5 linked regions of the Canis lupus familiaris genome follow. The protein of the gene in region 1 purifies or fractionates together with the protein of each later gene. This does not show direct contact. Links are inferred from orthologs where the notes say so. Each region holds a gene or a part of one and is shown in the gene's direction. Other genes may lie near its edges. The genes, in order: PAK2, ARHGEF6, GIT2, GIT1 and NCK2.

Evidence for each region.
Region 2: the proteins of PAK2 (region 1) and ARHGEF6 purify together in Homo sapiens (affinity purification with mass spectrometry; 3 studies listed by BioGRID and IntAct, counting the BioPlex papers as one, with this or other methods). This does not show direct contact. The link is inferred for Canis lupus familiaris from reciprocal best matches to the Homo sapiens genes PAK2 and ARHGEF6.
Region 3: the proteins of PAK2 (region 1) and GIT2 purify together in Homo sapiens (affinity purification with mass spectrometry; 3 studies listed by BioGRID and IntAct, with this or other methods). This does not show direct contact. The link is inferred for Canis lupus familiaris from reciprocal best matches to the Homo sapiens genes PAK2 and GIT2.
Region 4: the proteins of PAK2 (region 1) and GIT1 purify together in Homo sapiens (affinity purification with mass spectrometry; 5 studies listed by BioGRID and IntAct, with this or other methods). This does not show direct contact. The link is inferred for Canis lupus familiaris from reciprocal best matches to the Homo sapiens genes PAK2 and GIT1.
Region 5: the proteins of PAK2 (region 1) and NCK2 purify together in Homo sapiens (affinity purification with mass spectrometry; 3 studies listed by BioGRID and IntAct, counting the BioPlex papers as one, with this or other methods). This does not show direct contact. The link is inferred for Canis lupus familiaris from reciprocal best matches to the Homo sapiens genes PAK2 and NCK2.

Annotation. Positions count from the first base shown.
Region 1 is NC_049254.1:30,470,922-30,476,992, forward strand, and holds the start of PAK2 (serine/threonine-protein kinase PAK 2), read left to right. Parts: upstream 1-2,595; 5' UTR 2,596-2,702; intron 2,703-6,071. UniProt on the Homo sapiens protein: Serine/threonine protein kinase that plays a role in a variety of different signaling pathways including cytoskeleton regulation, cell motility, cell cycle progression, apoptosis or proliferation.
Region 2 is NC_049260.1:108,083,157-108,089,154, reverse strand, and holds the start of ARHGEF6 (rho guanine nucleotide exchange factor 6), read left to right. Parts: upstream 1-2,009; 5' UTR 2,010-2,291; coding exon 2,292-2,456; intron 2,457-3,659; coding exon 3,660-3,743; intron 3,744-5,998. UniProt on the Homo sapiens protein: Acts as a RAC1 guanine nucleotide exchange factor (GEF).
Region 3 is NC_049247.1:17,527,900-17,533,244, forward strand, and holds part of GIT2 (ARF GTPase-activating protein GIT2), read left to right. Parts: intron 1-100; exon of another isoform or gene 101-225; intron 226-689; coding exon 690-802; intron 803-1,440; coding exon 1,441-1,546; intron 1,547-3,453; coding exon 3,454-3,540; intron 3,541-3,657; coding exon 3,658-3,788; intron 3,789-5,345. UniProt on the Homo sapiens protein: GTPase-activating protein for ADP ribosylation factor family members, including ARF1.
Region 4 is NC_049230.1:43,660,695-43,666,800, reverse strand, and holds the start of GIT1 (ARF GTPase-activating protein GIT1), read left to right. Parts: upstream 1-2,262; 5' UTR 2,263-2,307; coding exon 2,308-2,359; coding exon of another isoform or gene 2,360-2,523; exon of another isoform or gene 2,524-2,845; intron 2,846-3,212; exon of another isoform or gene 3,213-3,290; coding exon of another isoform or gene 3,291-3,342; intron 3,343-6,106. Other genes in the region: uncharacterized protein LOC119876655, read right to left, coding at 1,480-1,738, 2,333-2,523. UniProt on the Homo sapiens protein: GTPase-activating protein for ADP ribosylation factor family members, including ARF1.
Region 5 is NC_049231.1:38,653,334-38,658,678, reverse strand, and holds part of NCK2 (cytoplasmic protein NCK2), read left to right. Parts: intron 1-3,000; coding exon 3,001-3,722; intron 3,723-5,345. UniProt on the Homo sapiens protein: Adapter protein which associates with tyrosine-phosphorylated growth factor receptors or their cellular substrates. Maintains low levels of EIF2S1 phosphorylation by promoting its dephosphorylation by PP1.

The DNA of each region.
Region 1 (6,071 bases):
CTATCCCCATGTCTCTTGATCTTTCTTTCATGTTTCTTTGGTCTCTGGGCTGCTCTCAGTAATTTCTTTACATATGTCATCCAGTTTACTAATTCTCTCTTCAATGTGTGTATAACTCAAACATTGGCTTTGCTTGCAATGATTAAATTCTTTGTAAAAGTTCTACTTGGTTACTTCTGAAAGCTGCGTGGTCATTTTTCAAAAGAAGTATCTTGTTTCTTACTCCTGTATTTTGTTTAATCATTTAATCAACCTATTTTATATTCTATAGCTGATAATTCCATTATCTAAAGTTCACAAACTTCATTAATTTGGTTGTGATTTGTATTGATTCATTCATGGTGACTTATTTCCTCAGGTATACTATAATTACATTTTGAGTGCTTATATTTAGATTTTGAAATCCTGTTTACTTTTGGAAATCCTTTTAGTCCTGGGTTGAGTGAACCTGTGCAGGGAGGATTTGTATTTGTTTCCTCCAGGCCACCAAGTACTACCAGCCTAAGACCACGTTCTTGACTTGAGGTTTCCTGGACAGTGTAGGTACTATAAATTTGAACTTTAAAACCCATGTGGGTGAAAGCTTGTGGTTATGAATTCTAAAGGGACATTGTTTCCCTCTCCATGCCAAGTCTAGACTAAAACAGACTAATGTTTGGGCTAGTACAGGGGATTTTTTCTTTATCCCCCATCTAGGAGGGTATAGCCCTATGGGTTTCCCAGCCTTGAATAGGCCCAAGGCCTTGTCTTCCGTGCAGCCAGTAAAATCACAGAAATTTCTAAGATAGGTACATACCCTCAGCACAACCATAGCTTCAGTATCCTGCTTACCACTCAGGTTTCATGCTGCCTCTTTGGGTTGAGTGAAATTTGGAAGACTATCAGAGGTCGGTCTTTCTTTTCTTTTCTTTTTTCCTTTCCTTTCCTTTTCCTTCCTTCCTTCCTTCCTTCCTTCCTTCCTTCCTTCCTTCCTTCCTTCCTTCCTTCCTTCCTTCCTTCCTCTTCGTTCTCTTCTTTCTCTCTTTCTTTCTTGAGAGCTTATAGTTATGACTTTTGAAAGGATGTTCTATTTTATCCAGTATTTCAGTGTGTTTAGTAATGGGACTGCTTTTCAGGTTATCTAATTAATAATGTGCCATATTAGTCTTTGATTCCTTTCTCTCTGCATCAATTGGGTTTTTATTCTACATCTATAGATAAGCACAATCTAGCTACCTTTCTCCATGTCCACTATCTCCTTAGTATCAGTCATGACTACTGCCTTTCTAGTTCATTTCCCTTCTATTCTTGCATCTGTATACTACATTTTCCACCAAGCAATCTATTGATCTTAAAGTATAAGTCAGATAACTTCACTTTCCTGCTTGAAACGCTGTAATAGTCCAAACTCGTTAGCATGGCATTCAAGATCCTCCTTGACCTGAATCTTGTCTACTCTAGTGTTTTTTCACAGTACACTACTCTTGCACCGAGCTCAAGCTTCACAGTTCGTCTTAACTGATCATAGCAAGCAAGCCCTTTTCTTCTTCCTTCTGTCTGTAATGCTATCTCCTAGGAGTGTCTCCTGTCTCTCTCCTGTTCTCAGCTTAAATGTTGCCTCCCTAAAGATTATTTCTCTGGCCGCCCAATCCAAAATAATCTCCCTAGTTATCTTCTCATACCAGATATCATTAGTTTAATTATTGTGCTTGCATATTTCTAAGCTCTACAAAGGCAAAGTGACTCATGTTCACCCTGTATCCTTGATGCCTTAATATCATACGTTTTAGATGCTCAAGTGTTTGTAGAATTAGTGAATACATTAATGAACTCCTCCTTCGATAAAACATGAAGGCCGGGCAGCCCGGGTGGCTCAGCTGGTTTGGCGCTGCTTTCGGCCCAGGGCGTGGTCCTGGAGTCCCGGGATCGAGTCCCACGTCGTGCTCCCTGCATGGAGCCTGCTTCTCCCTCTGCTTGTGTCTCTGCCTCTCTTTGTGTCTGTCATGAATAAATAAATTCTTAAAAAAAAAAAATGAAGGCCTTAATTTTCAAGGAGGTGGGATTTTAGCAGCAAAACATAGTAAGAGCTTGTAAATAAAATGCAAAATGGATAAGGGATGAATTTCCAGAAATAAGAGTCCTGAAACAGATTCACATAGCAGTGTGTGGGTCAGCGTCTTTGGCGCAGACTAGAATGGAGACAACGCTAAATTAAACGAGGGGCATGATTCTCTTTTTCAATTCAAAGAACACCGCCCCCCCCCGCCACGCCCTCCGCCGCCAAGAAGAAAAAAAGAGCGCGAGGGAAAGCGAGGCGAGCGGGCTGCGCGTCCGAACTACAACTCCCGGCAGCCCCCGCGCGAGCCCCCGGCCGCGGGGGGCGGGTCTCCGCCCCTGGAGCTCAGGGCCCGGCCGGCGAGGGGCGGTGTCCTGGCCCCGCCCCCGCCCCGCCGGCGCCCTCCCCCAGGCCTGGCCACGCGCGGCGGCGGCGGCTGTTCCGCTTCCCCTCCGGCCCGGCCCGTCGCCATTGCCGAAGGCTCTCTGCCTCCCCGCCCGGCGCCCGGGGGCTCGGCTGCCGCCCGGCCTACGCTCGCCGCGGCCGCGCTCCTGCGCCGCCTGGCCTCCCCGCCCGCCCCGCGCCGGCGCTTGCCCGGGGCGGCTCCGGAGCCCGCCGGGAGTTGGGACGCGGCGCCTCGCTGGGGCGGGGACCTCTCGGCGCCCGGGTAAGTGCAGGGCGGCCGGGGCGCGCTCCCCGTCCTCCGCGGCCTGCCGGCGGCCGCCACCTGCGCGCCCGGAGCCGCGGGCCTGGGGCGGCGGCTCATTGTCCGCTCCCGAGGGCGGTTTCGCTCGGCGGCAGCCGGCGGGGGAAGCTCGCTGGGCAGGCGCGGCCCGGCTCCTCTGGCGCCGGCCCTGCCCGCTCGCGGGCGCCCTCCCGCCGCCGCGCACCTCCGCGTCCCCCTCAGGCCTCGGCGAGTGCGCGTCGGTGCGGACGCCTCGGTGTCGGAGCGCGTGCGGGCCTCGCCGGCCTCCCGAGCCCCCGGATCCTCAGCGGCTCCCGGTGATCTGGGTCAAGGTTGGCCCTTCCCCGCGCGTGGCTGCCTCCAAAACACCACCGCACGCCCGCGACGTGGCCGCGGGGCCGTCGGCGGGCGCGACCTTTTGACCGCGTCCCTCAGCTGCAGTCGCCCCCGCGGCGGGCGGGCGGGCGGGCGGCGCGGGGCTGCGCCCTCCTCGCGCCTTGGCCTCAGCCCGCCGCTCCCCGCCGCCCGCCGCGCCGTCGCTTTCCGCCTCGGCGGGTCCTGCCCGCTCCCGTCGGTGTGGCTGCTCGGGTTCCCCTCCGCGCGTTACCTGCACTCGTTTTCTTTTTAGCCTCTTTGGCGAAAACGCATCGGAACGGTTAGGCCTAAAATTAGACCACGGCGAGCGGTGTTTTGGACCGAGGTTGTGCGCGTCACGTTTCTTCCCCTGCTCTGTCGGGCTCTTCCGCCCTTAGAAGGAGGCAGGATGTGGAGGTGTGCGAGGATCTGCTCGGGGGTTTTGTTTTCGTGGGGTCACCCGGGAGAATTACGTTCAATGAAATTAGATTGGGGTGAAGACAGTGAGTAGTCTTTTTTTTTTTTTTTTTTTTTTAAGATTTTACTTATTTATTCATGAGAGACCCACAGAGAGGGGCAGAGACCAACGCTGAGGGAGAAGGGAGCCCGACGTGAGACCCGATCCCAGGACCCCGGGGTCACGCCCTGGGCTGAAGGCGGCGCTAAACCGCCGAGCCACCCCGGGCTGCCCTGAGTAGTGATTCTTAAAGCAGGTTAGAACTTGTCGACTTTGCCAGAAGCTCTGTGGCCTTTCTAAAACACACACTTAACTTTTTCTTTCTTTCTTTCTTTCTTTTTAATTAAAGATTTTTATTTATTCATGACAGAGAGAGAGGCAGAAGGAGAAGCAGCCTCCACGCAAAGAGCCCCATATGGGACTCGATCCCAGGACCCCGGGATCACGCCCCGAGCCAAAGGCTGGTGACACTCAACCGCTGAGCCACCCAGGCGTCCCGTAACTTCTAAATGACTTTTATGTATATGCGGAAAATCTATATAGGCGTAGACCTATGAATTTGAAAGCTTTGTTCGTGTTCTGTTAATATGGGGTCTTGATTTAAGGCAGCTCTTTCATCCTTGGCTTTTAGGCCTTTCTAGCTATCGCTTAGCCAAGAATACTGACTTCCCGTATGAAAAATGAATGTTAAAATGTTTTTGAGCTGTGATATATGTAGACCCTAAGCCCACTGCAGGGTTTGGTAAAGAGGTTGATCTACATTCAGGGAATTTTGTTTTCACTGGATCCTCCCAACTTTCCCTAAGTGACTGAGTACTGAGCTGTATGTAATACTGTTAGCATTTGACGGTGTCATTTCTCCTTAACTTGAGAGGTGTTGTGTGCCACAGGGGCTAAGGTATGGAAATGTTGGGAGTGTGAAATTCGGTCTGTTGATGTCAGTTTCTCTGCCGGTTCTTCAACAAGGGGGTACTTTTACCAAGGAAGAGTTACTGGATATTCCTCTTCACATAGGGATTTGATTCGTGGTTTACCATTATTCAAAAAGAGTTATTCTTTTGGACTTTGTGACACTTAATAGTAACCTTGCAAACCCCAAATCATAAAGGAACAATAAGTTTGTACTGGGGGTGTATCTGCTAAACAAATGAATAGGGGGGTTCCTGTGGTTCTCTGATCTTTATGATAGGCAGTTTTCCAAATAGGCATGGTTAACAGTGGTGTGTATTTCTTCTTAATTATATATACTTAAAAAAAAAAAAAAAGAGTAGAACTGGCTCAGGTAGCTAAGGATAAACTTTCGATTATACTTTTTAATAAAGAGAACTTGTTCAAATAAAGTAAGTAGGCACTTTAAAATCCTCCCTATGTTTCTTCTGTCAATATCGATTATTCTGCTATTCGAGTATAATGTTTCTTTGACTTATTGAAATTTCTCCTTTTCATTTAAGCTTGAAACTAAGCCCTGTTCAGTGCTTTAAGGCTTCAGGATTCTGATCAGTTTGTTTTCAAAGGCCCTTCCAGTTAGTTAGAGGGCTAATTCCAGACTAGTCAGAAGGTGGGTAAGTTACTTACGAATCTGAGTTGTCACTTGTATCCTTGTACCTGGGTAGAAACCGAAAGAGAAGGAAAAATAGCCCCCCTTGCCCTGAAGAAAATACTGATTGTTTCCTTCTGTGATCAGAATTTTCACTAGTTCTTCATTTTAGGATCACTAACCTACTTAAGGATAGTCCTTCTGAACATTCATGTAGGATTTCAGAGTTCTAGCCTATTATTATCTCCGAGGTACAATAGTACTTACCATTCCATGTGTCTCAAATGGTTAGGTGCTGGGGACCTGGGTTTGAATCATTACTCTCTACTTTACCCTGGGTAAGACATGTACTCTTTTCAAGACTTGGTTTTCTTCTGTTAAAGGGGGATTGATGATGATAATAATAATAATAATAATAATAATAATAATACAAATTTCATGGGGCTATTTAAAAGCAAATGAGATAATGCAGGTAAATTTTTTTTGCAAATGCAGTGCTTAGTTACTATTCCATTCTAAAGTAGGTTTTATACTTAATTGCTCCTTTTTTTTCACCCCCCAAGCTTGCTTTATTTATTCATGAGAGACACATAGAGGGGCAGAGACACAGGCAGAGGGAGAAGCAGGCTTCCTGTGAGGAGCCGGATGTGGGACTTGATCCCAGGACCCCATGATCACCAAGAGAGCTGAAGGTAGACACTCAACCACTAAACCACCCAGGTGCCCCTTCATTGCTTCTGTAGCAAATATTGTGCCCCCAAACTTAGATTTAAGAATGCTTTCTGGAATGAGCACTGGATGTTATATGTTGGCAAATTGAGCTTCAATAAAAATGTATATAAGAAAAAAACAATGCTTTCTGGAGAGGTTGGAATCTCAGGACCAATTTTCTGAGACCATAACTGTTAAATTAAAAATTATTTTTCAGGGGGAAAAAAGTTTTGCCCCTGATATAAAACACAAGTTTTTCAAATTTTAAAAAATATGCAGGGACACCTGGGCG
Region 2 (5,998 bases), on another chromosome or scaffold:
GAAGGGACATCTTTGGGGGTGATGGAAAGTTTTACTTGCATTGTGTTTGATTGTATTGCAGGTGTATATGTCAAATTTAATTAAATTGGTCATCTTAAATAGGTGCATAATAATATGCATCAATTATATTTCAGTAAAAGAAATCAGCAAGGAAAAATTTTTGTTTTAAGACATAAGAGTTTATTCGTTCATTCATGCATTCCTCCAGCATTTTTAATTTTATTTATCTTTAAAGATTTTATTTATTTATTCATGAGAGACACACAGAGAGAGGGGCAGAGACACAGGCAGAGGGAGAAGCAGGCTCCATGCAGGGAGCCCGACGTGGGTCTCGATCCAGGGACTCCAGGATCACGCCCTGGGCCAAAGGCAGGCGTTAAACCGCTGAGCCACCCAGGGATCCCTCCTTCAGCATTTTTTAAAAAAGATTTTATTTATTTGAGAGAGAGCAGGAGCAGGGAGAGGGGAGAGGGAGAAGGGGGAGGGATGGAGGGAGAAAGAGAAGCAGACTCCTGACTGAGCAGGGAGCCTGACCCTAGGCTCTATCTCAGGACCCCAGGATCATGACCTGAGCCAAAGGCAGACAACCAATTGAGCTACTCAGATACCCCTCATTCAGCATTGTAGAATATCTACTATGTACCTGATCCTGCTGGGAACAGTGTTAAACAAAACAAACAAGACGTCTACTCTAGGGAGGTTACATTCTGGTGGAGGAGACATATCAACAAGTAAATAGTAACGTGATAAGTGTTAGGAACATGGCAAGAAGAGGAAGCTTTGAAAACATTTAGCAGGATTATCTAAGCTGATCATTTGGTAGTAGATGTCTAGAGCTGTGTTGAGAAGGATTCGGAAGCTTAGCAGGATCCCCTACTTGAGGAGGGGCAGTGACTGATGGGGAGGAGCATGCATTTGCCAGTTTAAGGCTATGCTGTTCTCATTGGTCTTCTTACAAGTTTCCCAATAGTATGACTATTTCAACTGGTTGTGAAAAGATCTCTTGTTTTAGACCAGGTTTGTTTTTTTTCAGAGCAGCATTTTTAAAAAAGGATTTTATTTATTTATTTGAGAAAGAGAGAGAGACAGCAAGAGAGAGTACAAGTGGGGGGTGGGTGGGGAGAGGGACGGAGAAGCAGACTCCCCACTGAGCAGGGAGCCCGACATGGGGCTCAATCCCAGGACCCTGGGATCATGACCCGAGCTGAAGGCAGATGCTTAACCAACTGAGCCACCCAGGCGCCCCTAGAGCACCATTTTTAACGCAAAGTGTTTCTTGTTGGGGAAGCATCAACTTTCCAGACTATAGTATAGACAGAGGACAAGTGCTCTTTTGTTCTCAAAAGTTCTGTTTTCAAGTGTTTTATACCCTCTCATAGGACTGTGTCAGAGCCTTTGCTAGGGGTACTGCAGCTGGATTGTGTAGTGGAACCAGGTCCAGAAAAAGAATTGCTAAAGAATGCAAGTAAACAGGATGTCAGATGTTATCCTTAGCCTATTTCCCTAAACATAGCTTTTTGGCTGCAAAGTAAAATGCCATTCTTCTAGCTTCTGCTTGTACACAGTGATGGCTGACAGCAGGCACCGTCTTCATTTGCTTGGCACGTTATCACCATGCAATTCAACGTGTTTTACAAGGGATGATCATGACACACCATCTCTGTGAGACAGTATGAGGACATCCGGCCATTTCTTGGAAGAATTTTCTCAGCCTACCTTCTTCATGAGCCTCAGATCTATGTGACCTAAGAGCCAGTTGGCATCTTCCTCCTGACAGCAGCCAGATTTTCACTGGGGCTAGACTATTTATTGACAGTGTTTCCCCAGACTGGCCCATGAGTGTCTCATTGCCAAAGTCCCCTGTGTTTTCCAAGAGCACTTGCTTCATTCTCTCTCCTCCCTCCCCAGCATCCTCCTCACTTCCTTCCCTTACAGCTTCTTGCACTGTTGGGTTTTTTTTTTGGGGGGGGGGGCTGTGTTTATGTGTGTTTCTTCTTCTTTTTTTTTTAACCCTGGTAAGTTAGCTTTGCAGGCTTGGAAAACAAAATCCAGCATTATCCAAAGATTTTTATTCTTTCTATTTCTACATCTTTTAAGTGTGATCTCTGTGGCTTTAAGATCCTGTAATTGGAGTGGGGTCGCGTTATCTAAGAAAGTCGTTGAAACGCTTTGCTCTGCAAGCCCCAGAAGAGAACTTATAAAAACGGAAGGCAGTAGCAGATGCAATTACGGATGTGGCTTAGTCCTTGCAGCTGCCCTGGGGAGCTGTGCAGAGCATACAGTCCTCAGCGATGAATCCAGAAGAGCGAATCGTGACATGGCTTATATCCTTGGGAGTTTTAGATTCCCCCAAAAAGACCATCTGTGATCCAGAGGAGTTCTTGAAGTCCTCGCTGAAAAATGGGGTAGTGCTGTGCAAACTGATCAACAGACTTAGGCCTGGCTCTCTAGAAAAGGTAAGGGAAATGGGCATTCTCTTTAGGATTGCTTACCACCAGAGAGCAGCAATAATGTAACCCTTGAGATGTTCTGTTGCCTGGATCATGGGACTCTGCCACTTGAATCTCTTCCTAGGAGTTTGGCATTCTGTCTTGTTTTTGTAGCTTGAAAAGCTCAGAAAATGAAAGGTTATCCGTTAGCACTTGGCCCCCAAATATAGTAAAATCATGATACAATGTTGGTGCCAGGGGACAAGGAGAAAATACTCGTATCATTTGCTCTGTCATAGAGATATGTGTTATTACTCTCTGTGTACCAAGGGCATATTTTGAACTTGGGGTATATATGAATTGGTGTAATAACGGGATGATTTATAATAGATATTGATGGTGTTTATTGACAGTTTGACTAAAATCAATGTTGATTTGCTTCTCAAAGAAATAAAATATCCTTTGAAACAGAGGCAACCAGAAGAAATAATCCAAAATGTCAGAAAAGGTTTGTTAAAACAATAGAAACCAGATATATGTTTTGTATGCAACATGTGTTCAAAGTGAAACTAACCTTACTCTCTTTTAAAAAGCCAAAAGTTTTAATGTTGGAAATCCATATTCACAAGGATAGATAATTTCTAAAGTAGGCACTTTAAGTTTAAAGGTTGAATCCTACAGCTTTCTTAAGGTTAGCAGGGGACGTGACTATGAGCATAACGTGAGTGCTTTTGCCTTCTTGTACTGGTTGGTATTTTTATTGAGCAAATTGGTTTACTTATAATTTCTCTGAAACTTGAAAAACAGTGCTGAAGTGGTAGTGCAACATGCAGAACTGTAACCAAATGTAACAAACAGTAAATGGGAGGATAGAGTGTTAATAAATTATCATGGGGAGGAGGGAGCAAGAAAATAACTTAAAAGCAAGAACCAAGGTCAAAACACAGCCTGGATCTAATTTGCTGTCTCCGCACTTTGGCTGAAGGCTAAAAAATAGTTTGTCAGTAGAGATAGGTGGTTTGGGACTGGAAGTTTGGTGACATTTGAAACAGACCGACCGTTTAGACTTTTACATCACTTCCTCCAGTGGTTATTTCTCTTCCTGGATTGACAGCAATGTGGCCCCTGCCTTAAAAAGCTTACCTATCTAGTTATCAGAAAATGAGGACTATGGTGTATGCTTGGCATGCGATAACAGGGTTCAAGTGACATTTGGCTATGTTTTTCTAGTACTGTTTGGAGCCCCAAACCGAAGCTGACTGCCTCAACAACATCAGTGACTTCCTGAAAGGATGTGCAGCCCTTCAAGTGGAGGTAAGCCCACCCGGGATGCCTTGCCTTGCTAGTGAAAATGGTGTTGTACTAAAAGTACTGGGTTGTTTCTGACTGTTACACAGGGGTAGCATTTTATGGAGATCATGGTTAAGATTGGTGGTCTCCAGTGGTGGCTGGTTAGTTTGTCTTTTCCAGAAACCAGTTCCAAAACAAAATGAAACAAAACAAAATCAAAACTCAGAATATGCTATTTTTTAATACAGCATCCGTGCCCTGAAAGCAGGCTTCCAGTGACAAAGGCTGTGTAATGTGCCTCCCTCCTGGGAGGAACCAAAAGCAGGCCATTGGCCGCTCTAGGGGGTCATAGTAATCCCCCCCCTCCGAGTTGGGAAGAGATGAAAGTATACTGTCACTTTTTTCCTATTAACACTTTAGAACAGAGGCCATGAAAAGCCAAGAGAGCCTGGCCCTGTGGTAGAAATTGTATATTAACTTACATTGCACTATTTTATATCATATAGATCCTTACAGTATATTTGGGGGTATTGCTGCAAAGGAGGTGATACTTTTGTCTGAGTGTCCAATTATGTAACTTCTTTGTTCCTCAGTGTGTGTGTGTGTGTGTGTGTGTGTGTGTGTGTGTATTACATCTTTATTTGCAGAAGCAAAATCATGGAAACAACATCCATAACTAGCAATGGGAGAATAGTCAAATAAATTATAGTACATTCAAATGATGCTGAAGTCTTATACATTCATTTAAAAAAGATTGTAGGTTTTTAAAATGGAAGTATAGTTATATTGATATTAATATTAGTTGATATTAATATTAACTAATATTATATTAGTTTTAGATGTACAATGTGTGATTCAACATTCTATACATTACACAGTGCCCACCATAGTAAGTGTAGCTACCATTTGTCACCATACAATGTTACTTCAATATTATTCTTTAAAGATTTATTTATTTATTTATTTATTTATTTATTTATTTATTTATTTATAGAATGCGTGGGGGAGGGGCAGGGGAGAGAGAGAATCCTGAAGCAGACTCTCCTCCAAATGTGGAGCCCACTGCGGGGCTTTGTGTGGGTGGGGTTGGACACGAGGCTTGATGCCAGGACTTGGAGATCATGACCTGAGCCAAAATCAAGGGTCGGCCACCTAACCAACTGAGCCACCCAGGCGACCCTACAATATTATTGACTGTATTCCCTCTGTTTTATTTGTCATCCCCATGACTTACTTATTGTAACATTGGAGGTTTGTGCCTATTAGTCGCCTTCATCTATTTCATCCATCCTCTCAGTCCCCTTCTTTCTGGCAACCACCAGTGTGTTCTGTTTCTATGAGTCTGTTTCTATTTCATTTTGTTTTGTTTTTTAGATTCCACACATGAGTGAAATGGTATGGTAATGGCCTTTCTTTGTCTGACTTACTTCACTTAGCATAATACCCCATCCATGTTGTCCCAAATGGCAAGATTTCATTCATTTTTTTTATATGATTGAGTGCATGTATACCATATTTGTGTCTGTTCATCTCTGAATGGATGCTTGGGTGGCTTCCATATCTTAGCTATTGCAAATAATGCTTTAATAACCATACAGATGCATATTTTTTAAGGATTTTATTTATTTATTCATGAGACATACACACATACACACAGAGAGGAGAGAGAGAGAGAGAGAGAGAGAGAGAGAGAGAAGCAGAGACACAGGCAGAGGGAGAAGCAGGCTCCATGCAGGGAGCCTGATGCGGGACTCGATCCCGGGACTCTAGGATCATGCCCCCGGCCGAAGGCAGGCTCTAAACCACTGGGCCACCCATGCGGCCCTACATATTTTTTTAATTCATGTTTTTGTTTTCTTTGGCTATTTGCCTCAGTGTTTTGATCTGTAAAATGGACACAACAATTGCTACCTCATGGGGTTGTTTTAAGGTCACATGAGATACTATATAATAATTTAGAGGAAGGAGCTTCAACCTGAAAAAGTTCTATGAGATAATGTATGTACCGTGCTCAGCTAAGAACCAGGGGCATAAGAAGTGTAGACCTGTTTTAGCAGTATAATTTGTGAAAAAGTATTGGTAGTGGGTTGATGATAGACTCCAATGCTAGGTTGCTTGGGTTCAAAGCTCAGTTCTCTCTCATTAGTAGCTTTGTGACCTTGGGCATGTTCTTTGACTGCCTCAGTCTCCCCACCTATAAAATGAGAATAATAGCAGCACCTATCTCATAGGATCAATATGTCAATTAATTCATGTCCCCAGAAGAGTGCCTGGCACAT
Region 3 (5,345 bases), on another chromosome or scaffold:
TTGGGAAATATGGTTTATTAATAACTTTTACTCAGAAGTTTCTAACAACTCATTCTCATGTGAAAGTGGGTATTTACTGCTCTCAGGTCTTTGTTTACAGATTTCATTATAGGGCCTGAAGAAAGTCCGGAGATGAGTAGTTTAAAATGCCAGGCTTGACCCTAAAAGAACAATTCTGAAAGTATGGCACATGAACCACCAGTGGTACTCAAAAGACAGATGTAGGTAATACATATTTATTTTAATGGTTGCATTATTTTACTGTGTATTGGAAAACTTTAACTAGCACATCAAGCCATAATTGCTAGTAAAAGTTTTTTTGTTTTTTGTTTTTTTAATGAGTAGATTTAAAGAAAAATATTAGATGGAAAGTCTAGACAGTACATGGGTTAAGAATCTTGAAAATAGTATTTGGATAATCAGGCTTACCCCAAAGTGTCAGAGTGCTCTTCCTTCATAATCTGTAAGAATAATCTAATCAAACTCTTTTAGGTACTTAGCCATCTTCCTGGTCAGACCTGAATCCTGCATATAGGTTCATCTTTCTCATTCTAGAATCAGAAAGCAATGATTTGTAAGACATCCTCGCCGTGCAGTGGGTCTTGGTTTTCCCAGTTCAGTCACTGTAATTTCCAGTGAATATTTGTGGAAAGAAATTAAAATATGATTTTATACTGCTTGGTTTTTAGATGGTTGAAACTTTGTATAATAATGGTGCTAATTCTATATGGGAACATTCTTTGCTGGACCCTGCCTCTATTATGAGCGGAAGACGTAAAGCTAATCCACAGGATAAAGTACAGTGAGTGGAATGTTTATAAATACTTTTATTTCTTCATAACACTTGGGGCCCACTAAAAGGAGTGCAGCTACTTTGGACCAGCCCCCACAAGGGCAGCACAGGAGGTGGTTACACCCCAATTGTGCGTTGAGCTCTCTGCTCTTAGGAATGCAGAACAAGGCCAGGCACAGGACCATCTCTTTTGCATGGTTGTACAGCACAAGTCAGTGGCTTCTCCAGTTTGACACTAATGCTCAGAGACTGTTAATGTAATCTGATTTAAGCTTAGGTGCTCAAACAAGAGGCAATCAGACCAAAAATCTCCATTCTGGGCTCTGGTCTGCCTGATGCCTCACCTATAGGATGGGATACAATGCTGCTTCCTCACAAGGCTGTAGGTCAGTTAAGAAAATTACAAAGAGAGAAGCTCTAAAAAGCAAGTATTCTGCAGTCCTGGCCTTTAGAATGACTAATTGATGTTTTGAGACTTCAGGTCTTAAACTCCTGCTGGAACTTATTTCAGTGTCATTCATTTTCTTCTCTAGTAGGGGATATGGGTCACTTCCTTTTCTTTTTACGGCCTAAAGAATGGGAAATGTTGCATCTGAACTGCAAGTAAGCAGCTTTCTTTCTTTCTTTTTTTTCTGGGTGGTAATCAGTCCTAATAAAGCAGAATTCATCAGAGCCAAATATCAGATGTTAGCATTTGTCCATCGCTTGCCTTGCCGGGATGATGACAGTATGACTGCCAAAGATCTTAGCAAGGTGGGTCACACTTTTTAAAATCCCTAAAACTGCTGGATCAAATGATATATTGTTTTGTTTGAAAAAAACTTAAAGAGGAAGAAAAGAAAAACAAAACAGAAACTTTCTGTACTCTAAATAATTAATAACAACCTTTTTTGCAGTTGGTTACATCTTTAATTTTAGTTCAAATGGCAGCCATTCTATGTTAGTGGAGGTACAAGGAGGTACAAGGAAAAATAAGTATGTATCTAGAAAATTATTTATGTTTTTCAGAAATGGTTTTGAAATTATATTTCTTGAGGCACCTGGGTGGCTCAGTTGGTTGAGCACCTACCTTCAATTCAGGATATGGCCCCCAGGATCCTCTGATTGAACCCCGCAGGGAACCTGCTTCTCCCTCTCCCGACTGCTCATGTTCTCTCTTTCACTATCTCTCTGTCTCTCAAATAAATAAATAAAATCTTTATCTCAAATAATTAAAATCTTTTTTAAAAAAGAGAGGGAAGGTGAGCACGAGCAGGTGGAGGGGCAGAGAGAGAGGGAGAGGGAGAAGCAGACTCCCCACTGAATTGATCCCAGGACCCTGGGATCATGACCTGAGCCGAAGACAGACGCTTAACCAACTGAGCCACCCAGACACCCCTAAAATTGTATCCCTAAAAGTTTTTCATTTAACTTTAAAATAGGAACCATCCCTTGAGTTTGTTTCTAGAAGGGACTAGAAAGTTCGAGGGACCTCTTTAGGTTTCTGGGTTGCATACTGAGTAGGATCTTCAGGAAGCAGGATGACTGAAAGCTGTAGTGCTTATGATTCTTTATTATACTTGTAAAATGAGTAGATGGTTTTCTTTATGTGGGCCTTTGCATGATTTTGAGAGATGCCATGAGAAACATGCATTTTTATTTTCAAAGCACTGCTTTTAGGAAATGTTCGCACAGAGCTTGGACACTTGCAATCAGAATTTTAAACTTTGCAAAAAAAAAAAAAGGAATTTTAAACTTTGCATAGAAAACATATATAACTGTTACTTCCGTTAATAAGCTTGGCATGGGGTTTTTACCACAACTTAAGAATATTAAATACATTAATTGTAAAAATAAGGTGTGGATATAGATGCTGGAGTAGACTTCTGCATTTTTATAATAAGGGTTATTGCATTTTAGACAATTCTAGGTTAGACTTGAAAAAAGCAGCTAATCTTCTGCATGTTTAAGAGCTTTTCTGCAGTGGTACAGAATTTGGTATACACCAGGCCTATTTCCCAGCCTGAAAGATTTTGTTAAAGTATTATATACAAGGCCAAGAATGTTGTTATGAAGAGGGTGTGCTATAAAGCAGAATCCAGTAGTTTACAGCATGGGGTACGCAGCCCTAAAGCCCTAGGTTAAATAACAACAACAAATAATAATGATTATAATAACAGCAGTTGTATTCTTTGAGTGTTTCCTGTATACCAGGCTCCATGCTGAGCATTTTGTTATATCATTGACTCCTTACAGTAATCCTTGAATAAGTGGCATTGTTTTCACCATTTTAGAGCTGAGAAAACTAAGGTTCAGATTGTTTAAAGAACTTCCACAAGGTCACACAACTTGAAGGGTATATGGTTTTAACTTCAGGTCTTTGAGACTTCAGAGCTGTGTTCACCTATCTTCTCATACCCCCTTTCACTTCAGGTCTGATTGTACCACTTAGATTGTGCATTTGGGCAAATCAGCCTTCCCATCCTTATTTCCTTATCAGTAAAATGGACCTGGCCCCACCTTAGAGCTCTGGAGTGGTTGTGACCAGCAAGGGAGAGGCTTACTGAGCTAAATAACTGATTATCACTAATATAATGTATATTAAAATGATCTGCCAGCTGCTATAGTATACCATTCTTTACACTTTTAACAAATACTTTTTTGATTTGTGTGTTTTTCAGCAACTTCATTCAAGCGTGAGAACAGGGAATCTTGAAACCTGTTTGAGGCTGTTATCTTTAGGAGCACAAGCCAACTTCTTTCACCCTGTGAGAAAAGCATGAATTGATTCAGATACTAAATTGAAACTAAGTGGGTTGTGTTTGTTGTAGCCTTTAGTTTTATTTAATTTGCTTGTTAATCTACTTTTTATTAATATTTCTCAGGAAAAAGGAAACACCCCACTCCACGTTGCCTCCAAAGCAGGGCAGATTTTACAGGCAGAATTATTGGCAGTATATGGAGCAGACCCAGGCACACAGGATTCTAGTGGAAAAACTCCTGTGGATTATGCAAGGTGAGAGACCTAGATTTCTTGTCACTGCATCTTTGGTTAGGGATTATTTATGTTGGGTATTATTCATTGTTGGTGGCTAAATTGTGTATGATTAACATTTAACCCCTTTAAGTTAAGGATATACATCTCCCATTATTTTACAGATGAAAGCATTTCAAATACATAAGAGCTCAGAGCCTGGCAGAGTTGGAGGAGATAGAACCATTAGCTTAGCTAATGTGCTTAGCTTCCAGTGTGCTTAGCTTCCAGTCTTTCAAATGACTTCTAATGCAATGGTATTTGAGCCATAGTCCAAAGCAAGTATCAAGAATTGCAAAACCCACTCCTCAGTTTCTTAATATGTTTAGTCATTGCTTGAACTTAAAAAACAGAGCTATATAGATAGGTAGGCGATTAAACAAGTAATAGTAAAATGTTAATTATAGGTTTTAGGTAGCAGATGTCTGGGTGCTTGCAATAAAATTCCTTAAGTTTCTTCTTGTTTTAAAAACTTTGTGAAATGCTGGAAAAATAAAAAAATCCATGTTAGCCTTGAATATCATTTAAATGGTAGAAGATGGCTCATCTTTCTTTTTCCAAATTAATTTTTTATCAACTGCAAAGCATTCTACTGTTCTGCAGAGGATAAAATGGGTGAAATGCCAAAATTGTGCCTTCCCAGAATTTATTATCTCATGGAGGAGATGATTCATAAATACATGAAAGAGTTAAAGGAGGCAAGATAATGTGGAATTCATTGCCAAAATGGATAACTGGTCTTAAAAGGCATATGTAGGGTTTCTTCGTTTTGACCTAAGTTAGTAAGAAACTTCTTTAGTTGGTCTTTAAAAAATGGGTTGGATTTGGGTGTGTGAAGGAGAAGCTAAGACATTCCAAGTGAAAGAGAAGGATTGAGTTTACGTTCAGGAGGGAGGGATGGACAGGGCATTTTCAGCACAGCAGAGGAGTTTACTGGATGGAGCAGAGTGTGTCTAGGAATAATAAGAACTTGGGTATTGAGGAATATAGTATTTCCTAGATCTGAGACTCCACTGACTATATGGGTCGTCATTATGTCACCTACCACTTAAGAACAACTTAGCTGATTAAATGATGATGTACCATCAATTGTAGTATACTTCCTGATTTCACAGCTATTTAAAAAGAATGAGGGAAAGAGATCCGTATCTCAGAAATCAAACGTGTGGTAGGTCAGAGGAATATTTTGTAGTGTCTTGAAAGGTGGGAAAAGAAAGTGGCAGAAACGAGACTTCAGCTTTTAAGAGGAAGAGAACCCTCAGTACATGATACTTAAATGTCACTTACTTTGGAGTTTCCTCATGTGTATCTTGCATATAAAATAGTCTCTCTGTGTAATAATTTATTTATATGCCTGGTTGCTAAAAGGATTTCAAGCAGCTTAAGTATTTACTTGGTGAGTTAAGAAAGACAAACCTCATGTTTTCTCTTATAGAAATTGAAGTTAAGCAGGTAAACCTAGCTACAAGTGTGAGCTGTGCATTCTGTTGGTCTGTCTCTCCCTGAATTACAGACCTTGAAGTGGTTACTAAACTCTCA
Region 4 (6,106 bases), on another chromosome or scaffold:
AGTATTATGTAGGAGTCTTCCCTGCCCTATTAGAAAATTAAATTCCCCCCCCCAAAAAAAATTAAATTCCATCTTCCACACTTGACATTACAAAGGGAATGACCACGAATGCTGGAAGGACAGTCCCCTCCCGCTATGTGCTGTCCTCTGCAAGGACCAGAGTGGGGCTGGGCGGAGAAAGCAGCAGGTGGCAGCTTAACCACCTCCACCCGGTTGTGGTCCCCTCGGGAGAGGAAGTGACTGATTGCAGAGAAGACCTTCTTCCTGATAACCCCAGGGCAGAGAGATCCTTCCAGAAGCGTCCCTGAAGACGCTGTAGTAAAAGTGTAATTGACCTCGGGGGCTGCCTATTGCGGGGACTGGAAGCACCTAGAGGCGTGGCCCGGTCCCTCCAAACCAGAGTTCGAATTCCTCCTTACTAACCGCCTAGCCGTAGGCAAATTGCTTACATTTTCTGTCTTCTCAGACCACTCACCTCGAAATCGGACTCCAAATACTACCTACTGGGGTGAGCTAAGGATAGTAACTGCCCTGAGAAACAGCGCATCCCGCCCGCAACCGGGTGGACCGAGACAGGTGGCAGGACCGGGCACTGTGCCTTCCTGAGTCCACCTTAGAACAGGACAGGAATTAGGGATTCCATACCAGCCCTACTTAGAACAATCCAAGAAATGTTTGTGTGGGAGGTGCTAGCAAAAGCTTGCAAACTCTCCGCGCCTCTCTCAGGTTTCTTTGTGTGGTCTTCTCTCCTTCCTCCTCCACACCCTGCGGTGCCAGGCCCAGGCGGGAAAGGATAAAGGAGGAATGGACTGCCTCGCCCCTTTCTCCAGCCTGGGAGGAGCCAGCTGGCGGCGTCTCGGGCAACCGGGAACCGCTGCCCACCTCCACCACGAGGGGTCAGCAGAGTGTTGTGGCTGCAGCCGGAGTTGGGGAAGGGGCTGGGGCGGGGGAGGGACGGCTAGGAGTGGCCAGAAGAATGCCTGTACGTTTGTTTCCTCATTAAATTGTTTATAGAACCTTGTCTCATATTTCTTTTTCTACTGTCTTGCTTCCTGAGGTGGAGACGTCTCCAGAGGGAGATCCTGGAACCCTTTTATCCCTAGTCTCGGGCCCAGAAGCTCCGCAGTGGCGGGGCTGGGGTCTTCCGGAACAAAGTTTAGAGTGTGGCTTCTTGCCTGGGCCACTCCCAGGTAGTCCCCGGGCCAGCCCGGAGGTAGAGCTGGCGGGCGGGAGGGGGCGACGGGGTGAATCATTCTTCCCCTGAAAAGTGTTGGGAGTTCTGGGAGACGGGGAGCTCGGCCAGGATTGGGGGACCTATGCCCTTAGCAGCCGGGTCTCTTTGCCAGGCGGCCCTAGACCAAACCCAGGTCGCCTTTCCTCGGGTCTGCGCCCTCCAGCTGCCACGTGCTCGAGACGCGCCCACACAGCAGAGAAACAAAGACAGCCAAGCGATGGAGCTGCCAGTAGCCGCCTCGACATTTAATAAATGAAATTCCATAGCTGTGGGTCGATCGGGGGTGAATGGGCGGCCACCGCTCCTGGGGGTGGGGGTGGGGGGCGCCGGGAAGAGCGGCCAGGCCGCTCCATTACGTCGTCCAGCCTGGGGCTACCAAGCCCACAGACTGGCTTCTCGGTGTGGGTGCGGCACCGTGCGGCAGGTGGTGCTCCCCCACCGCGAGGTACCTTCGCTTGCAGAAGCCCCGCCAGCTGAGCGGCTGGCTGTGGGGGGAGGAGAGGCCTGCAAAAAGATTTTTCTTAAAGGTGCGATTATAAATATACCCCGTGGATCGCGATTTCAAACAAACTTGTCAATCTGGGCTGCAGCAAAAGGCGATAGAGGCAGCTTTGCTTGTATTTCGGGTGGTGTGACTCATGAGCATTACTTGTCTCCCCCAGGGAAGCAGCCTGCCCACCCACAAGCCACTGCTGTTCTGGCACCGCTGGGATAAAATCGACCAACTCCCAAACCCCTGCCCAAGGACTCCCCTTCTCCCCCTTGTTACTGAGAAGGGCTCCCTGCCCCTTGGGAATCTTCCCTTAATTCCGGTCACCACTGACCTGGCCCCCAGGCCTGGTCCTGGCCACCCGGGCCCTGGCCCCAGAAGCAAAGCGCTCTGGCATTTTGCTGCTGCAGGGATGGGGGCTGGGTGCACGCGGGGCACACGTGTATGGGGGAGCATGCTCAGTGCAGGGGTGCACCCACGTGCCGCCTGCGCCTCCGCTTCCTGTCCCCCCCCCCCCCCATTGCCGTCTCCGTGTGAAGTCTAGGAAGAAAGGCCACCATAAGAAAAGGTCCCTGTATGTTATATGCACACGCCCTGGACACACAAACCTGCAGTGGCCCAGAAACACCGTGGAGGTATACAAGACGAATGCAGAGTGGATATTACTGCCCACAGGCACAGTGGTCACCCCTCGGGAGGCCTTTAAAAACTGCCCAGATTCTTTCCTCTCGGGACGGCAGCATGGATGAGGTATAGATGTATTTTTAGCTGGGAGGCAGGGGTACACCTGGGCGTCCATATTGTTGGCTTTGTGCGTAAGCAGCAAGGGTGTGACCACACACACCTGGACACACAGATGTGGATATATGGGGGGCCAGGTCGCACACCTCGCCTCAGCCACACAGAGGCGGGCACCCCAAACCACAGCGCTCTGACGAGGAAGGGGGCCTGGGCCTCTAGCTCCTTCCTCTCTTCCCGGGTCCCCCAAGGGTCACCGTCCCCGGGCCTGAGCCCCTCGGGCTACCCTCCACCTGGAAAGCGAAGAGGAGAGGGCTGCGCGGGGAACTCACACAGCCGCGGGGCCGGAGAGCGAGGGAGGCGAGGCCCGGCGCGCAGGCGACGCTGCCCTCTAGGGCCTGCAGCGCGGCGGCCGCGGCCCCTTTAAGCACCCCCGCCCCCTCCCGCCCGCGCTCCCGGCTTCCTTTCTCCGGGAGGCGCGGCCCGCAGGGCCCGGCGGCGGGGCGGGTTGCGGGCTGCCCCTCCCCCGGTGGGCAGGGCCTGCGCCGCTTCCTGCAGGAGCGGCCCGGAGCCGCGCAGGGGGCGGAGAGAGCGAGCGGCGGCAGGGCGGCGCGGGGCGGCGCGGGGCGGAGGGCGCCGGAGGGCGAGCGGGCAGGCGGGCACGGCGGGTTCCGGGCCAGCCCCGGGGGCGGACGGTTGGCCGGGCGCGCGGAGCCTAGCCGGGGCCTTGCCGGAGCCGGGCCGGGCAGCAGAGGCAGCCGCCGCCCGGGCCCGCCGCCCGCGCCCCCCACGCTGGCCCAGAGGGCTGCGGCCGCGTCGCCGCTGAGGATGTCCCGGAAGGGGCCGCGGGCGGAGGTGTGTGCGGACTGCAGCGCCCCGGGTGAGCAAGGCCGGGCCGGGGGCGGGACCGCGACCGCGACTGCGACCGCGACCGCGCTGCGAGGCCGCCGGGCGGGCGCCGGGCCTGGCGAGAGCGCCGTGCGGGGCCGGAGGGCGGGGCGCGGGGCTGGGGGCTGCGGCCTCGGCCCCCGCCCGGGCCACTGCGGAGCCGCGTCCTTGGCGGGAGGGCCGGCTGGGGGGCCCCGGTGCCCTCGCGTCCGCGGACGGGCGGGGAAGGACATTGCCGGCGCCACCCCGGAGTCTGAGGGAGGCAGGCGGCTGGCTGCCCCCCGCCCCCATCTCTACCTCCCGACGGAAGCGCCAGCCTGGGGTGGCAGGAGGGCTGTGGCGGAGGCCCGCAAGGTTCAGGAGGTGGGGGCGAGTGGGGTTTCGTGTCAGCTCGGTGCCACCCCCGCGTCTTGCACCTGCTGCTCGCATGGTCTGGGCGCCCGCTGAGGTGGCGGAGGTCAAGGGGCAGAAAGCTGGGCAGATGGGCCAGGGGAGGCTGGGGTAGTGTTTCTTTGGGAGCAGATGGGGGCGGGGGGGGGGTGGAGAGGCGGTAGCTACTCCGAGGACTGCCTGCCCCTGGTTCCCAAGGCCGGGGCTACTTGCAGGGCCTGGTGTTGAGGGCCAGTACAGCCTGGGCATCTTTCTCTCAGGCATCCCCAGGCTGCCTGGTGCCTGGGAGCCACTAGACTCAGCTATTCTTATGCCCCAGTAAGGTCTGCTTAACCCCGTCAGGTGGGCTTAGCATTGTCCCAGCTTGGGCACAGACCCCTCCTAGCCCTGTGTAGCCCAGTCTGGCCAGAAGTGGGGAAGGAGCAGTAGTACCCAGGATATCGCTGGCTTCCTGGCCAGCCTCCTGGCTGTATTTACCCTGGTGTTTTCCTTCTCCCCGGCACAGTCAGGTCCAGGCTGATGTGAAACCCCCCTGACCAGCTGAGGAAGTGAGGAGTGGTGACCTGAGTGGCTGCTACCTTCTGATGTGGGAGGACCGTGCCAGTGATGGGGCTCAGCAGTTGGCCTGGGGAAGGAAGCCGTGGCTTTTGTCCATCCTCTCCTTAAAATAAAGAAGCTAACTCCCTAGGAGACCTCTGGGCAGGCTCAGGGTGTCTCTGAATTCCAGGGGGACTGTGGGCATAATTAAACATGAGAGTGTGAGGTGCTGTTCCATGCACCCATAACTTTGAGCCACCCTTAGGACAGGCCTAAGACCCCAACAGGTTGAGAACCACAGATACTCCAGTGGTTCCGATGGCTCCAAGCTCAAGTGTTTGGTGACTGTGGATGCCTGGCAGAGGCATGGTACTCCGTGGGTGGTTGCGACCCTGGGACTTCTCTCAGGGCGTGTCATGATCTAGAGGGCCTTCAAGAAGCTATCTGGGCTTACATATCCTTATCCTAATGAGCTGGAAACGGTGATCTTCTTCTAGCCGCATGCAGGTCTGAGGATGGAAGGGCCAAGAGGAGGAGAGCTTGCCTTCTGTGGGTGTCCCAGACTGTTGTGTAAACCTCTGCAAGGCGGGCATAGCATAGGGGTGAGGGTGGAAGGTCCAGAAGGACTGGGGGGAGGGTGCTTCTGTCAGCTTACTCTGTGACCCATGGCAGGGCTCTTCCTCAGTTTTCTCAATTGTGAAGCAAAGAAATTGGGAGTAGAAATGGTTTTTGAAGACCATCCCATCTTCAAGTCTGTGGTTCTCATTCTCAGCCAAAGGGACATAGGACAGAATCAGCAAGGTAGTTCTCCTTTCTCCACTGGATTTGACAGTCTGAAACCTATGGATGCCTAATGGGTTTGGGGAGGAGTGATGTGTATCTGATGTCTTGGATTGCTCGTGCCCCAGGTACCTCCTTTTCCCCTGACCCAGAATACATGTCAGGAATAGGCAGGGGGTAAGGATGGTGAGATAGGCAGGGTGCTGGCAAAGTCTTACACATCACCCTACCCCAGCACCTGGCATGGTGTCTAGCACATGTCGAGCCTCCCTGAGTGTTTAGATGCTTATCAGGACCCCAGCTGGCTACTTGGGGCTCCCCCATTCCCCACCATAGGACCCAATCTCTGTGGGACCCAAGGAGTGGCATTCTCAGTGTGGGAACTATAGCAGCCCAGGTACAACAAGGCTTGAGGGTGATCAACAGTTGGGATATAGGCACATGCCTCCTACCCAGTCATAGGCTTCTCTCACTATGAATGGGGTTCCAGCCCTAGAAGTGGGGCTGTGGCCTTTTTGTGGTTGGTTAATTTGAGGAGACCATAGAGGTGAAAGGTGAGATACAGGCTGACTGCAAAGGTCCTCGTCCTCCCTCTGCTTCCAGGCATGGGCATACAAGTGACAAGTGTATTTTGTAAGGCGGCTGGACATAGCATGGCTGCTATAGCATCTGCGCAATGTCATCAGGCACCATATGTGTACCTGTCTGCTGTGGGTGTCCAAGAGAGGGCAGGAGTCAAGGAACCCCGGAGAATGTGTCTCCCCCCCCTTTCCTTCCCCTCCACTCGCTGCTCACAGTCCTGATCCAGCTCAGGGGCCTGCTCCTTATCCCATGGTTCTCCATCTCAGCTTTTCCACCTGGGCAGCCCAGGTCATGGGAGTGGAACCTCAGGGTGCCAGGCACTTGGGTGAGCAAGGATGGCTACTGGCTAGGGGACATTTGGAAACCTGCAGGCTCATTTGTCTCTTCATAATGTAGATGGTGGGTTTGGGGAGGAGTGAATGCGGGGGGGGGGGGGGCTTTTTTCTCTTTTATTGAGGTTTAACTTA
Region 5 (5,345 bases), on another chromosome or scaffold:
CATTGTTGCCAAGACTGTTGAAAGGACTTTGGCCCTCTCCTGGTAAAATACCTGTCTGAGAAAAAAGAAATTCAAAGGCCTGACTTCGACAGAGTAGTAATAGTTATTCATAGAGTGCTTCCTGTTTTATATTACAATCTGAATTATGTCCCCTAGAATGCGTATGTCGAAGTCTTAACCCCCAGAAAGTCAGTGTGTGACTGGACGTGGTAAAGGTCCCTTTAAAGAGGTAATTGAGTTACAATGAGGTCTTTAGGGTGGGTCTTAATCCAATGTGACTGATGTCCTATAAGAAGAGGAAATTAGGACACAGACCTACAATGAAAGGAAGCCCGTGTGAAGACACAGCAAGAAGGTAGCCATGTGCCAGCTAGTGAGGGAGGCCTCAGGAGGGACCAGCCCTGCCCACACCTTGATCTTTTTTTACTTCCAGCCCCCAGGACTATGAGAATATAAATTTCTGTTGTTGAAGCCCTGAAGTTTATGGTACTTTGTCCTGGCAGCCCTAGCACACTGATACAGTGCCACAGTTGTCCACATTTTATGGGTAAGAGAGCTAAGACGCAAATTGAGTAACTTGCCCAAGAGCATATAGCTAATGAGTGGCCTCCTTGGGATTCAGTTGTTCTGCTGTATTCCATGACCCCCTCCCTTTACAGAGTTGCCTCAAAGACTATTTGGATCCCATTCAAGCAAAACAGGTGAATTTTCTGTGGTGTGGTTGCTATGTGGAATGTTCCAGTCTTGACAGAGAAATTTAAGTTCCATACAGGCAAGGAGTGTGCCTATCTTGTTTTTCTTGGTCTCCCCCAAAGTCTAGAAAAGTGCCTGGTGTAAAAACTCAGTGGCTAATGTAATTTTGTTCTTGAAGAGTCAGCAAAGTGGCCTATTCGTAAGTCAGTTGTGAAATGTCTTCAACAAAGTTTTATGAGGTCTAAGGTCTACTGTCTATTCTGCTGATCTTGACATCTTTCTGTGCCCATGAGTAGTCTAAATCCTGCCCTTCTGTAGGTATTTTCTCAAGTACCTTTCGTTACTCACAAACTTGAAAAGGTCTATTAGAAGGTTATTTGTAGGAGTACCTAAGGGGCTCAGTGGGTTAAGCGTCTGACTCTTGGTTTTGGCTCAGGTCATGATCTCAGGGTTATGAGATGGAGCCCCCACACTGGGTTCCATGCTAAGCAGGGAGTCAGCTTTAAAGATTATCTCCCTCTGCCCCTCCTCTCGCACGTGCCTTCTGTCTCCTAAAATAAATAAATCTTTTTAAAAAGTTATTTGTGTTATTTCTTGAAGTCTTGTTACAAGTAGAAATTGTCCTCTGCCTGTTGCGTTAGCATGCCGACTCCTTGATGAGGCTTAGAATACCCTGGTGCCTGAGCCTTCAGGACAGAAGTGTATTTTCATGTACGGTCTGCCTTCTGGATTCTGAAGCTAGTGAATCACCTGGATTCTGAAGCTAGTGAGCTAGCTCTCTCACGCATAGCTAAACTAACGTAGGCTTGAAATCGCATGAAAGGATTCGTTCAAAGATTTAGAGGTTTGTGTTTTCATGTAAAGTGAGTTAACTTGTAAGAAGTCTAAAATTTTAACTTGGTTTAGTATCCTGGTTTACTTTCCTATTTCCTATATGCTTGAATAAAATGTGTATAAAAAAAAACACACACACAGAAGCCATTCATTTGAAGAATTGGTATGTTCACTTGAAGACCTTGTGAACAGTCACTTCACACCCGTGTGCTGTCCCCTCATGTCTGCTATCCAAGTGCCTTTTAGTGTGCGGAGCCACACTGGTGGTGCTGAGCTGGGCATGTATCCAAGGGGAGCAGAGTCTTAGGCCAGGGATGGGTCTGCTCTAGAAGGCAGTGCACAGCACTCCACAGTAGAGGATGATCACAAGGCAATGTTTTGTTCCCCTTGAACTCCTGGCCCCCTCAACAAAGGAGTAGAAGCAAAGGTAATTCTTGGGATCATTCTGTCTTTACTCCATTTGAAGAAATAAAATGAGAGAGAGGTATTTTAGTTGAAGAAATAAAATAAGCTACCATAAAAGTGCTTTGGTGTCATTTTGCAAGGGTGGGGAATCTGCAAATGGCGTCTCCGTACCATCAAAGCCTGCACACTGACCAAGTTAGGAGCTTGTGTGGAGCTGGTGGGCAGGCAGCCATCTCAGGAAAAGCTGGGGAGCATGGCCCGCCCTACTGGTCTAGTGGCACACCACAGCTCTGAGCGCTGATGTGCCTTCTCCGTAGGCTCCCCTCTCAAGAAGGCTCCAGAATCCTCTGCATTCCACCCAGGCTGCAACATTTTTACCTTAGGGCTTTTCACGCTGGTTTCCCCACACACAGGAAGAGATAAGTTTCACACTGCAGCTCAGCACTGGCTCCCTTACATAACTGAAGCAACACACTATGCTTGATGCACTTGGGAGGTTTTTCTATCTTACTAACTTAAATAAAACCAGAACAACACACACACACACACACACACACACACACACACAAAGATGGTCACAACCCAGTAAATTGATTTTATGATCCACTAATGGGTTTTGAGGCACAATACAAGAAATTCTGCCTTAGACCTAACAGATCAGCTGATTGCTTCCAATTGGCTCATTGCAACGTGTGGGAAGTGAGCGCTCAGGCCCCCCCCTCCCCCGTTTTGGAAGGACAGAAGCAGCGCAGGAAGAGAATAAAGGAGGGGAGGGTGTTGGTTTGTAGCCAGCGGAGGGTCGCGGGTGTCCCCCGAGTGGCCCAGGCACGCAGCTCTGACCTGTGCCCCGGGCTGGCCTTGGACAGGTCTGAGTCCAGCAGGCCGTCCGCCCGCCCCTGCAAGCAGGCGGAAGACCTCCGGGCTGAGCCCTCCCGTGCCCTCCTCTCCGAGGGCGCGGCAGCCCTCGGGAGTACCACCCTGGGGGGCGCCGGTGCCCTGGCAGTGGGGGGGGGGGGGGCGGGGGCGGGGCGGCGGCCCTGAGCGCTCAGCCCCGCTGTGTCTCCGCAGGCCTCGGCAAGACCAAGAGGAAGACGAGCGCGCGCGACGCGTCCCCGACGCCCAGCACGGACGCCGAGTTCCCGGCCAACGGGGGCGGCGCCGACCGCATCTACGACCTCAACATCCCCGCCTTCGTCAAGTTCGCCTACGTGGCCGAGAGGGAGGACGAGCTGTCCCTGGTGAAGGGGTCGCGCGTCACCGTCATGGAGAAGTGCAGCGACGGCTGGTGGCGAGGCAGCTACAACGGGCAGATCGGCTGGTTTCCCTCCAACTACGTCCTGGAGGAGATGGACGAAGCGGCCGCCGAGTCCCCCAGGTTCCTGAGCCTGCGGAAGGGCGCGTCCCTGAGCAACGGCCAGGGCGCCCGGGTGCTGCACGTGGTGCAGACGCTCTACCCGTTCAGCTCGGTCACCGAGGAGGAGCTCAACTTCGAGAAGGGTGAGACCATGGAGGTGATCGAGAAGCCCGAGAACGACCCCGAGTGGTGGAAGTGCAAAAACGCCCGGGGGCAGGTCGGCCTGGTCCCCAAAAACTACGTGGTGGTCCTGAGCGACGGGCCGGCCCTGCACCCCGCCCACGCGCCGCAGATCAGCTACGCGGGCCCCGCGTGCAGCGGACGCTTCGCGGGCCGCGAGTGGTACTACGGCAACGTGACCCGGCACCAGGCCGAGTGCGCGCTCAACGAGCGGGGCGTGGAGGGCGACTTCCTCATTCGGGACAGCGAGTCTTCGGTGAGTGCCTGCCGGAGGCGCCGGGGGCCGGGCCCTGCCGGGCTGCGTGGGTGCGTGTGTGCGAGTGGGGGGGGGGGGGAGGGGTGCAAGGGCAGGCGCGCTGCTCTTCTCCGATCCCTCTCCACGCGCACGGCGAGTAGCCGGAGGATGCTTGCAGCTCCTGTTCACATAGAGCCCCACGTATTTGCGGCTCCAGGTCAGCTAGGGGAATCCCACGGCCCGCAAGCCTGCTTGGGGTTGCTGCAACGGACCGTGATGGACTGCAGTCCCCCGTGGGTGTAGAAACCCACCCGGGGACCTATCTGGCAGGGGGGACGGCAGGTAGAATGGCCCTGCAGCTGCCGAAGGCGGTCGTGCCGCTCTCCTGAGATTCTCCCCTCGATGTTCTTCTGCACACTCCGACATCAGTTTCTCTCCAGGTTTCCCATTCTGTGAGTGACCCCACTTCCCGCAACCCAGGCCCTGCTGGTTGACTTTGTTTCCTCTCTAGGTCCCAGGCATGTCTCCTGGTCACAGCGGGAGGGGCACCTGGTTTCTGACACAGCCTTTTGTTGGTCGGTTTGTTTTTCTTTTGAAACCAGACGATCCTAAGGGCACGGCGACCGCAGGCGGCATCAGGGAGTTCATCTCCAAGAAGCTTTTAAAGCACTTAGGAACGGAATCGAAAAGAAAAAGACAGGGCTTGAAAGAGATGAGTTTGTGTGTGTGTGAACTGCATCAGAGGTATGAGGCCGCCTGACTTGCAGCAGATCCTTTTCCAGGGATAGGCGGATTGGGGGTTTGAATTTTTGGGTATGCTGAGCCTGTCTGGAAGAACTGAGCCGGTTGTCACGCACGGTAACCTTTTCATGAGTACGTTATGGATTTTGTTGATCTCTTTGCAGATATGCCTTCCATATAATAAGATCCCCACCCCACCCCCCCCCCCACCCCCCCAAAAAAAAACATGACTTCTGCAGATAGAATCCATGGTGGTTACGTTGTATTGGTTCTGGCAGGTTTCAGTTTAATTTTTTAAATGCATACTGTAAGACTGGTAAATATGTGATCTGTACCATAATTGGTATCCTCTGGGAAGGTTGATACCACAATAAGTGCATATTCAAGACTCTTGCAGACTGATCTGAGAGCAATTCCAGGCCACAAGAAATGTTTTTGCTCTTCTGAGAGAAAGGCAGCTGTGATCTGTTCTTCTTAGACACAGGAGAAGCATCCTGGTGGTAGAAACCAGACCCCTCACGGTGTCAGCAAGTCACAGAGTTGGCGGCTGCCTTAGACCTGCTGGGGCTAGCACACCAGACCTGGGTATTAACTACATCTGAAATCTGAATGCTGAGATTTTCTTATCCAGCCGCCACAGCTTATCATTTCTGGCAGGACATCAGATTGAATCGGTCTCACGTGACGTAAGTTCTGTGCATAGCTTCCTTTAGATCGTGCTGCTGGAGGCTTAGGAGAATGCAGTATGCCTCACTTTTAACTCTTTTGAGCAGAAACGTAGAGAAATCACTGGAAAACCAATTATAGCATAAGGTGATTGGTCCAGAGTACTTAGGGGATAAATGTAATCCAGCACTAGAAAGTAAAATCTTGATTTAGAAATTTTAAATTTGAAGGGTGCCT